Linked DNA regions of Drosophila melanogaster. The protein of the gene in region 1 interacts with the protein of each later gene in a pairwise test. Each region holds a gene or a part of one and is shown on either strand. Other genes may lie near its edges.

Region 1 (4,850 bases):
CAATCTTGCTATTTTCAGTCCAAATGATTTTTATTTATAACTTGGCTTTTGGGCAATCCCCATTCTCTTAATGACTCGCTCAGAGGCGTAACCTCTGCAGCGCCTTAGAATTCCTCGGAGTTCCTGGTATGCAAATTAGCCGCCACAATGAGCTCATCTTGCCTTCAGCGAATCCCAGACGAAATCCCAATCCGCTTCTCCTGCCTCTGCCGAAGTCGACGGCGGCGTCTACGTCCACCGCGACAGCGACGGCTGCGCATGCGCCTGCGCAGACTGCGGCGCGGATTTGCAAAGTCGATGGCGAGGCGCTGATGAAGAACAACCCCGGCCTGAATTAGACGGCGCCAGCGAGCATGACAAGGTCGGCACTTAAAGGTGTCGCCAATTACGGGCCTCACCTCCCGACCTCCCAAACTCCTAGCTTCCAATAGACCAGCCACCCGTTTGGGGGGGTCTTCATCTACTTGTATGGTTTCCCCATCTTTCGAAAATCTCTTTTTCGAGTGTTTTGTGAAAACTCGCTCGAGTTAACGCTTCAGTTAAAGCCCAAATGCACTTGTGGGCAGTGCCAGCGTCGGTGGGTGTCCGTTAAATTTGAATTTCACACCGCTTAGCGCGCTCAGCAATGCGGAAAGAAAACTCTCCAAGCGCCAAACTGAAATTCTGGGATTCTTTGCTTCAGGTGCTTTAGGTTCTGATTCGACTGCTCCACTGATTCCCGGCTTCTTATAGCCAAGAATTCTCTCTCTAATTGCATCAAAAGAAACTCAAAACACATACGAAATAATCACGCAAATGTGCCTTTGTTTTGATGTTGGCACAGTGAAGAGTCTATGAATTCGTATAAGCGTTTTGGTAAGAGCTTAAAGCCTTAGAGTTTAGTAAGTTTTCACGTTTACATTTTGTGGCGGTAGTTTAATTTTTGTTAACAAATTACCCTACAAAATGCAAAAATGATCTATTTAAATAAATGCTTTCGACGTGACATTGTCTGCTATTTTTAACTATTTTAAATTGTAATGACACCAAAGAAACCAATAAATTTCTGTATTCTATTATTAACTTCTATTATTAACTAACTCATTTTAAAGGGCATTTAAAGTTTTCTAGCAACGTGAGTATGTTTTGCTGTTACAATTTCATTTTAAACAATTTTCGAGAGTCATTGCCAGGATTTGGAGGCGTGGAGCAGGGGGAAACTTGGACGAACCCCCCAAGTTGCTCTTCCCCTCCTCCTCGAGAAACCCCCCTCCCAGCAACTACTCAAGTGGGCGCAGCGTAGGCAATGCTAATGATGATAATGATGATGACGATCTGTAGAGCCAAGCTCCATCGCCTCTTGTCCCCCCATCCCCTTTCCCATTCAACACCCCCTGCCACCAAACAACTAACACTTGAAGTGAAGTTACCATCTAAATAAACAACTAAATTACACTTTGAAAAAATCTTGCCAACCTACCAAGTATAATTAGCCAAAAAACCTGTTCCCTCTCTGTATCTTTTATAAATATTATGAACCATAATTTTTAAGGATTTCATGCGAACATATTTGTCCTAAACAATAGAAGAATCTTATTGAAATAAAAATGTTAAGAACAATTTCATAATTCAAATTCTTATTTGCTTATTTTATTTTAGATATATTTGTTACTTGTTGTTGCACAATTAATCTGAGTGTGGCAACAACAATTCACCGATAGAGATGCTTACCCGCTGCCTCTGCCCGCGGCGCTGCCGCAGCACTGTCGCGTCTGCGCCGCTTTCTGCTCTTCCGATGAGTTTCGAACACAACTAAATCAGAATTTTATTCAGTTTCAATTGTTTAGCGAGTGCGGATCGGCGTCGAGTGCGCGAAGCAGCGAAAACAAGCCAAACCAAACGAGACGAGCCCCACAATAAAATAAAATAAAATAAAATAAAATAATACAAATAGTTGAATTAAATCAAAAAAAAAAAAAAAACGAGGGGCAAGGAACTAAGAAAGTAAATTAAATTAGGTGTGTACTGCTGAGGCTTTCTTGTCATTAGCGAAATTTTGAAATCTTCAAAGTGTCAAAGCGCGACGGAAATGCCGTTATATTCGCTACATTTCCCAACATAATTTACCGCGCCCCAAAAAAAGAAGAAAGTCGCCGGAACAATCTAACAATTTTCACCAACGAAATTGTTTTATTTTGGTTCTGGGAAGAATTCTTCGCTCTTAATTAATCATCAAGATTATTAGCGTAATGGTTTTTTGTTTCTGGCAACTATGAGCAAATAAGTTATTATTATTTTAGGTGATTTTGGCATTCAGATGGCCTATGCTGGATTTACGCATTGATGAGCACTTTGTCATTCGGGTTTTTAATTATCGGCCAACTTCCAAAACTTTTGGTCGAAAGGTCACAGGCACCTGTGCAGTGAACTCTGACGTCATCGCATGTAAGAAGGCTTCGCAACGCTTGGTTAGCCAGGTTATTGACTCTCGCCCTCCCTCTCCCACTTGAAGTTACAGGCCGGACCACCATCATAATTATGTGAGTCGGCTTCTTCCGCAACCGCAGAATCTTAAGCCGCCTCTTGCCCGCGAACCCATAAATAAAGCCGATCTTGGCTCATTTTAACGATCTGCATATTTTGGCAACATAATTAACGGTGAAAAGAATGTGAAAAGTAGCGAATCGTAACGCGAAAGCCCCAATCACAAAACGAGAAGAGAAAGAAATACGCGACTGCAAAGAAAGGCGGAAGAAAGAAGCAGAAGGCTTCCACGCGCCACCAGCGAGTCTCCATCTCTCAGTTCGAAATCTCGCGTCCATCCCAGCGGTGCCTCAAAGCAAATCTTCTGGCCAGAAGCCCAAGTGAAACCGTCGATGATGCAAAAAGGGAAGTGCCAAAAGAGGCGAGTTAAGTGAGAGCAAATCTAAAAGAAAGCATCGTAATATCGAAAAGCGCCGCTGGGGTTATAAACTAATCGGACCCCATGATCGCGATCAGCGATAATTCGCTTGGGCAGCGATTAAAACGCCTCCAGCTGGCATTTCTCCTCATCGCTCTTTGGGATTCTACGAGGGCACTGACGGTCGACAATCAATTGGTATCCGCAAGAAATGGTAAGTGAAATATTGCAAATTAGTGCTCACAGCTACCTATACAAAAACGTATATTTACAAACGGAATAACTGTCTTACAATTTATACAAATTGTATGCTTTATTTTGGTTTTTTGTAGAATACAATTCCTAATTTTAGAACCTTATTTTCATCGTCATTTGATACGTGACACGATTGACTGCTAGATTCATTTTTAAAGCTTAGTAAATCATCTATATACTTTGTATACCACAATTTTGGGGCTTTTTATATATGGCCTACTTAAAGCGTTTATGAACAGCACTTAAACGCTTACAATTGGTTGTTAAAACCGGCTTGATAATTTTTTAAGAACCTTTACGAGCATTATCTTTGGTTATAAAAGAGTGCTTCTATGAGCCTTTGCTCGGGCTATTGAATCATTCCCGTAGTAATGTAAATCATTGGGATATAAAATATACAATTTTTCCATCACTTTAAAGTGGGATTCTAGGATTCTATTTAGAACATACATTTCTCGGTGATTGGGTACACCGTATAATACGAATATGTATAAGGTTCCAATATCATGCAACTCCAGATTAAAATGAAATTTAATTACACCCTTAGTTAATTGGACAACTTAACAATTTTGTTTTTATTATTACAACTATTGTAATCACAAATTCCTGGACATAGTGTGCTCATGTTTAAGCTACTGACTAAAAATTAATTTGAATTTCACTACTTTGGAAACATTCAAATATTCTAAATGAGGTAATTTCTTGGAAAAGAGCATACCAATCTAATAACCATAGGCTGGGGGCCAATCCATCAAGCATGTCAGCCCACAAACACCGCAGAGCAATGTGTTTTGTTTATGGTTTGACCTTTTTGAATTATTCATGCACTGACAAAAATTCTATGGGTCACCACCCAAGTGCGCCCCACCGGCACGCAAAGTTAATAAAATTCAAATTCAAATCCAAATCCGAATGGAGAACAAAGCCAGCGAACAATCGAAAAGAGACAATTGCAGAGTCAATAAAACTAACCTACCGTAGAGTGGACGAAGTGGAGCACCAGCGGTGGCCTTGAAAGTGCAAGTGGGGTGACGCAATTGTTTAGGAGCCAAAAGGAGTAGGGGGTGGAGTTGCTTAACTGCCAGCTGAACCTTTTGTAATTGCGATCTCGCATTTGGCATCTTGCATCGACAGACTGCTTCGAGCGGATTGCACTGGAGGCGATGCTGCCATTTGAGAAGACCTTCCGCACCGAAGACACCAACTCGCTGAAGATGTGCAAGGAGAAGTGCCTGCAGGCGGGCGAGAAGTGTCAGGCCATCTCGTTCGGGTGAGTCGTCTTCCACCTGTCACCCCTTGATTGCCCAATTTCCATCTTATGTATATATGTGTTTTCCTTCTCCTTCTTTTTTTTTGGAATTTTGCAGTGTTCATCGACGCGGAAACGGCACTTGTCAGTTGTCATCGGAGCAGTACGGCTCGGGGGGCGGCGGGCGTCCGGGGGGCGTGATTTTCGATCCCGACTTTGATCTGTACACGCGCAAGACGAACTGCTTCGACTTGAGCGACAACTCGATTGCCGCTGGTCCGCAGCCCGTGCCCGGTCCCAGTCCCATTTCACCCGGACCGACGCCACTGGATCTGCCGAACAGGCCCTTGGATGTGGGCAATACGCCAGTGCTGGTGGTCAACCCCACGCCACACACTTCGGGGAGTCCACCGCCTCCGTTGGGACCGTCCCTACCGCCACCTGGCGTTGGCGATCGGCTGTACT
Region 2 (5,973 bases), about 15 Mb from region 1:
GTGCCCAAGTACTTCGACCAGATCTTCGTGTGGGGCAATCCCTACATGACCAACTCCGTTGACTGGAAGTCGACCGACAAGAAGATCGCCGACATCATCATGACCCTGTGGGCGAACTTCGCCAAGACCTCGAACCCCACGAAGTCGAACGTGTACGTGAAGTGGAACGCCATGACCCCCAATAACGATTCAGTGCTTCTGATCGACGAGAGCTTCAACACGGACAACCTGCTGAACAACCAGCGGATCAACTTCTGGAGATCGCTGTACCCCAAGATCCTTGTCTTCTCCGCCGACTGCTGCAACTCCACGTTCTCGGGCAGCGGCCTGGTGATCGCCACTTCCGTTCCCATACTATGTACCCTTAGCATTATCGTTAATATATTTTGAATAAAGAGCTCCTGCAATAGATGACGCTTTGACCCTCTCCAAGTAATCTGTCCTACCGTTACTTATTACTTATTATATAATAAATATTTGAAAACAACAGAACCACATGTACAAAGTTACCACTTGTCGTTTATTAGTCGTTCGAAACTTATAGGATATTGATTTGTTGCTACGACTGCCATATATGTATATCATATCATAGGGAGTAACTCAGAAGTTCAAAGGATTTCGAATGGCGGTATCGATTGAAAATGGTGTGCATTTGCATTTGCACACCAATCCTTTGGATTCTTGGGCATCCTCGATAAACAAGGTTTGGAAATTCGTTTTCGCAGGTTTTACGATGAAGTTCAAGTCGAAGGTTAGAATGCATTTTTCGGTACTTATGTTCGAGACTTATACAATTTCTATACTAACCACCGCCAACTCATTCGCCTTCTATACTTTCATAACTAAATGTCGTTGTCTTGGAGCTAAAAGTACACTCTTGTGGAATTGCAATACTACACCTATTCGTCATCCTCAAAAATGTGGGCGCTCAAGGACTGAAATCCCCAGCACGAATCTTGGAGCTTATTCCATGCTGGTGGGATTAGTTCTTGAACGCGCTTTTTTGGTCGAGTTGTTAAGCCATTGTCAGTGTGCCAGCTCCGATTCCGTAGCCCACACCCTTTGGCCCATAGAACTTGGCGTAGCACGATCGGCAATAGATGCCGCCATCGGGTCCGTCGTTCAGATTGGTCGAGTCCAGGTATTTCCGGCACTCCATGCAGTAGAAACAGAGCTTGTGCCACACGTTCTTCGCGCTCTTCACCTGTTCCGCGGCGAAGACCATGAATCCGCATCGCGGACACCCGTTCTCCGACTTTTGTCCGTTGCGATCGATGGTTCCCCAGCTGGAAGAAGAGATCCTTGGATCCAGACGAACTCTCTTTGAACTGGACAACGGACTTACCAGCTGGGCGTGTACTCGTAGTTGGTGGACACCAGGGTGGGCGTGTGTCCGTACCCGACGCCTTTGGGGCCAAAGAGCTTCGCGTAGCAGAGCTTGCAATAGATATTGTCATCCGGTCCGTCACAGGCGAGCACCGAGTCCAGGGGTCGGGTGCACCTGGCGCAGTTGAAGCACTTCCTGTGGTACATCTTCCCCTTGGACAGCTGCAGCTCGGCCGCAAAGACCGCTCCGCCACATCGGGGACATCCCTCGCCGTCCGGAGCCATGATCGAAGTGGTGTCCGGAGCCACAAAGGGTCGTTCGGATGCCAAGTTCTCCTCACTGTAACAAATCTCTTTCAGTCAAATTATGGATTGGATTTTGACGAATATGATTGAAAGCTTGTTTTATCCAAATTCAAGATGAGCCTTGGAATGGAAACCACTCACGTAATGCCGTCGGTTTGCAGGAAACTGGATCCACAGGCGAATCCGTAGCCATGGGGTCCCCACTTCTTGCCATAGCAAGTCTTGCAGTAGACCTCATTGTCCGGACCATCGCACGCGATAATGGAGTCCAGAGTTTTGGTGCAGTCCCGACACTTGAAGCACTTCCGGTGCCAGCTCCTTCCCTTGGAGAGAACTTGTTCCGCGGCGAATACTACGCCGCCACAACGTGGGCATCCTTCTCCGATTGGCGCCTGGATTTGCTCCACATTTATGATGGAGGCTTTGGGAGCCATGTCGCTGCAAGCACCAACATAATAACCTAGCCAGAATTGGTGTTACTACTAATCTCACCTTTGCCACTCGCTATCCCTGATGTCGGACATCAACCCCAAGGACGAAATGCCGATGTGCCCGTAACCCCTGGCCCCAAACTTCTGAGCATAACATCCTGAAAAGCGAATGCTTCTAGAGATCCTAATTCTCTAAAATCTATGGGTTGGAAATGTACCTCTACAGTAAATGTCCTTGTCCGGACCATCACAGTGAAGAGTTGAGTCTAGAGTCTTGTTGCATTGCACGCACTTAAAGCACCTTCGATGGTAACCCTGCGATAAAGAACACCACCTAAGACAAGGGCCGACGGACCGAGATCGTTTCAATAGTTCACCTTTCCTCTGGCCAGCATCTGCTCGGCGGCATACACATATATGCCACACCGTGGGCAGCCCAGCCCGTCGGGTGCTTTTGGGGGAATCTTGGGCGGAACGAATCTAGAAAGATTCAAATGCCTCCCTCAATTACGGCGCTCTCGGTGGACATCCAATGTGGGGGGGGGGGGGGGTTGTTTCATCTTAGTCACACACAAGACGAGGAACAAAAGTCAGAAAGGTCGGTCGTTGTGCCCGAACAAAAAACGAATTGGGGAAATACACGAAATCCACATAGACAGCAGCGAGGGAGATGCGAATAGAAACCTATAAATAACATGTGAATAAGCTTACAACTACTTTGTTTTATTGTACATTTATTTTATCAATTTACAGTCCGCGGACGTTGTAAACAAAGATACAAGAATTATTTCACCAAAGACCACAATGTGTTTGCTAGTTTAACATTAACAATCGGTTAGTGTTAGTGGAATTTTCCAGGGAATCAGAAACTGGATATCCCTGGCGGTTTCTGCCCGGAAAGTTAAAAACAAATTTTTCGGTTGCTTTTTTGGGGGTGGGCGTGTGGAAAACATTGAAAACATACAGGTTCTAATAGAAAGCAAAACTACACATTTAATTCAAGGAATTTTACACAATTTTCATACAAAACATATTTCTTATTTAGTCCTTACTCTCTGTTTAAGTGGGCGCCAGTGTCCGTGGACAGGCAGCCGGCACCACCACCGAAACCGTATCCCTTGGGACCGTATTTGCGACCATGGCAGTTTTTGCAGAAAAGCTCCTTCTCGTGCTCCGTGCAGTTGGTCGAGTCCAGGGCCTTGTTGCACATGCCTGAAACGGGCGAGTGGAGGGGGAGGGGGGTAGGGTTTTGCGTTAGCTATCCGACATCCGACTCGAAGGACCAAGTCCAGACGATCTGGCTGGCAGGACATTTATACTTACTGCACTTGAAGCAGGTCTTGTGGAATTTGTAGCCTCCGGCAACGCGCTCCTCGGCAGCGTAGACCGACTTGCCGCACGCGGGGCACTTGGGGGTTTCAACGGGAACGAAAGGCATTTTGATCTGAGTGCGTGTGTGTGTCTGCGGGGGCAAAAAACTGTGATTATGGCAAACTGCAGCGGCTATGCGTGTGGTGGATCAGCGCGATTCAATTATATACACACATATATATATGTATATATATATATATATAATCCTAAGGATATATACCTCGGAGGTACTCTGTGAAGTAGTTCCTATTCGTCGGAAATGCCGCGGACTAGACTGGAAAGATTCTGTACACAGGTAGTCTATATTTGTGGATGCACACGGCACAACTAAGAAAATACAGTTTGCGTAATAAAAACAGCACTTTCTGAATATATCATTTATTTATCATGCAATGCCCACGGCTCTATGTATGTGTACTCTCGGCTATATCCACGCCCCGATGTCTCATTCCTGGGCTGGTAACAGACCAGTTAGACTAACTTGGATTACTATATCTTCACCCACTGGGAAGGAATTTGCCTCGTCTTGAAGTAATTTGTTTTGTTCTACTGCACTCTCAAGTGCGAGGCATGCAAGATTTTTGGGGAAAAATCGAAATATATAATGGGCTGTTTCTCACGAAGGTTCTACCCGTATAACCAACCAACTAACCAACCAACCATCCATCCAACCAACTAACCCATATGTAATCTGATTTTACGCAACAATTAATTTATTAGCTTTCGACACGCACACCAAAATCCGCGCAGATGTAAATATGTATGTTTGTAGTCTAAAAATATATGCACACCCATGCGATGTGTATCAAAGTACATTCATGGCCTTATTTTAAACTTAGAAATTCGAAAATAGCTCATAACTGCTCAACCCAGATCCATAAATAAACCCATTACGCATTGATCGCTCGATCGGAATTGGAATCGGATTTGGAATCGGAATCGGATTTACATGCCATAAAGTGTTCGAAAATAGGTTCCAGTTTTCGAAAGAGCGTTTTTGGAGAGTGGATCGAGTGGCCAGCCACAAGTGTTTCAATTGGGGGGCCAAACGAATATGCACATGGATATGAATATGAATATGGATGTGGATGTGGATGTGTATGTGGATGGAGTGAAGCATCTTTTCATCAGCGCCTGCGATGCCCATGTATAAACATATCTATAAATAGAGGGGCTCTGGGTATTTGTTAATTGTAAATCGCTCACTTGCGATTGGCAATGAGCCTAACAATTTATGAAGGCCAGGCCCATTGACTCGACAAATCTGACAATGTGGTTTGCTTTGCCAGCATTGTTTATCCGCGTGCCGATCCGATCCGATACCACCATTATTTTTGGCGACAGTTCAGGGTTAGTTCATCGCCAAGAATGTCGGGAATTAACCACTCGATCGACCGATCGCCTCCAACTCGGAACACGGAAGTATGTATGTCTTAATTACCTGTATGGGTGGACAATTAGTGCAAAATAGACATTTGGCGCAGCGCTGAGTCAGCCACTCGTATTTATTATTAGCCGCATAATTATGAATATGTAATCTAGTTATTCGCCATCTTGTTGGCTTCATTTGGCTCCGCTTAACTATGCATGATATGCAGGTGGCCAAAAATCAACATCCATAGGTTGCTGACCTGGTCTCGCTCCATCCAACAAAGAGGCCTCACCTTCGAGCCCATTCTTCGCCAGAGTGTGGCTGGCGTTTTGCATGACAAAGAAATGAATTTACAGCGATCGGGTCCAGATGTTATGATAATCAGCTTATCAGATATCGTTTATTTTACAAAGTAGATAAATTAATTAATATACAAATAATTATTATAATTGTACATTTGACTTCATCTTTTATTTAACCATCCAATTGTTAATCGTAATTTATACAAATTACAGTCGCTGCAATACAAATTATGCAAAATCATGTATGTATATCATTTACAGTCACTGTATGGTAATATGGTAATTTAGGTGGAGTCCGACTTCAGCCGATTGGCAAACTCGACTTGCTGGATCTCCCTCCACTCCTTCTTTGGCTTCATGCGCTTCAGCTGCCCGTCCCAGACCAGATCAATCAAACCTCCCTGCTTCGCGATGACACTCTTCACGCGGTTCGCGAAGTCGATCGCCGACTCTCCCTCCTGCCTGTACATCGGCGGCAGGTACCACACATCGCACACGATGGCCCACGAGGTCATCATCATGTACAGATACTGCATCATCGAGTACTTCGCGCTGTTCCAGAAGGCGTCGCCGAACCTCGGATCGTACCTTCAAGCCAAAAGAGACCCCACGGATGAGAAATGGTTTCGCCGCGAAAAACTATTCACTACTCACTTAATGGCCACCGGGTAGATGACGCCGCCAACTTCGAAGCTGCCCTTCTTGAACTGCATGACCGACGTGTTGTTGATGCAAGTTCCCTCCGGGAAGATAAGGATCGGTGGGTTGTTCGGATCAGACACGTGCTGCTTCAGTCGCTCGGCCACCAAATGACGATCCTTGGCCTCGCCGCGCTCAAACCAAATGTGGGGAGATGCGCGGGCCA

What was found. The genes of interacting proteins can lie anywhere in the genome.
Region 2: the proteins of CG42326 (region 1) and Mlp60A interact in a two-hybrid assay, tested with the Drosophila melanogaster proteins (one large-scale study listed by BioGRID).

Annotation. Positions count from the first base shown.
Region 1 is NT_033778.4:8,581,740-8,586,589, reverse strand, and holds the start of CG42326 (uncharacterized protein), read left to right. Parts: upstream 1-1,810; 5' UTR 1,811-1,997; intron 1,998-2,279; 5' UTR 2,280-2,424; intron 2,425-2,491; 5' UTR 2,492-2,965; coding exon 2,966-3,095; intron 3,096-4,270; coding exon 4,271-4,406; intron 4,407-4,503; coding exon 4,504-4,850.
Region 2 is NT_033778.4:24,072,751-24,078,723, reverse strand, and holds Mlp60A (muscle LIM protein at 60A), read right to left. Parts: upstream 4,123-5,973; 5' UTR 3,655-4,122; intron 3,551-3,654; exon of another isoform or gene 3,526-3,550; 5' UTR 3,502-3,525; coding exon 3,387-3,501; intron 3,276-3,386; coding exon 3,116-3,275; coding exon of another isoform or gene 3,112-3,115; exon of another isoform or gene 2,770-3,111; intron 2,544-2,769; coding exon 2,441-2,543; intron 2,379-2,440; coding exon 2,282-2,378; intron 2,222-2,281; coding exon 2,125-2,221; intron 2,071-2,124; coding exon 1,774-2,070; intron 1,667-1,773; coding exon 1,346-1,666; intron 1,287-1,345; coding exon 1,016-1,286; 3' UTR 501-1,015; downstream 1-500. Other genes in the region: CG10339 (uncharacterized protein), read left to right, coding at 1-390; Gpat4 (Glycerol-3-phosphate acyltransferase 4), read right to left, coding at 5,393-5,696, 5,763-5,973. UniProt on the Drosophila melanogaster protein: Positive regulator of myogenesis.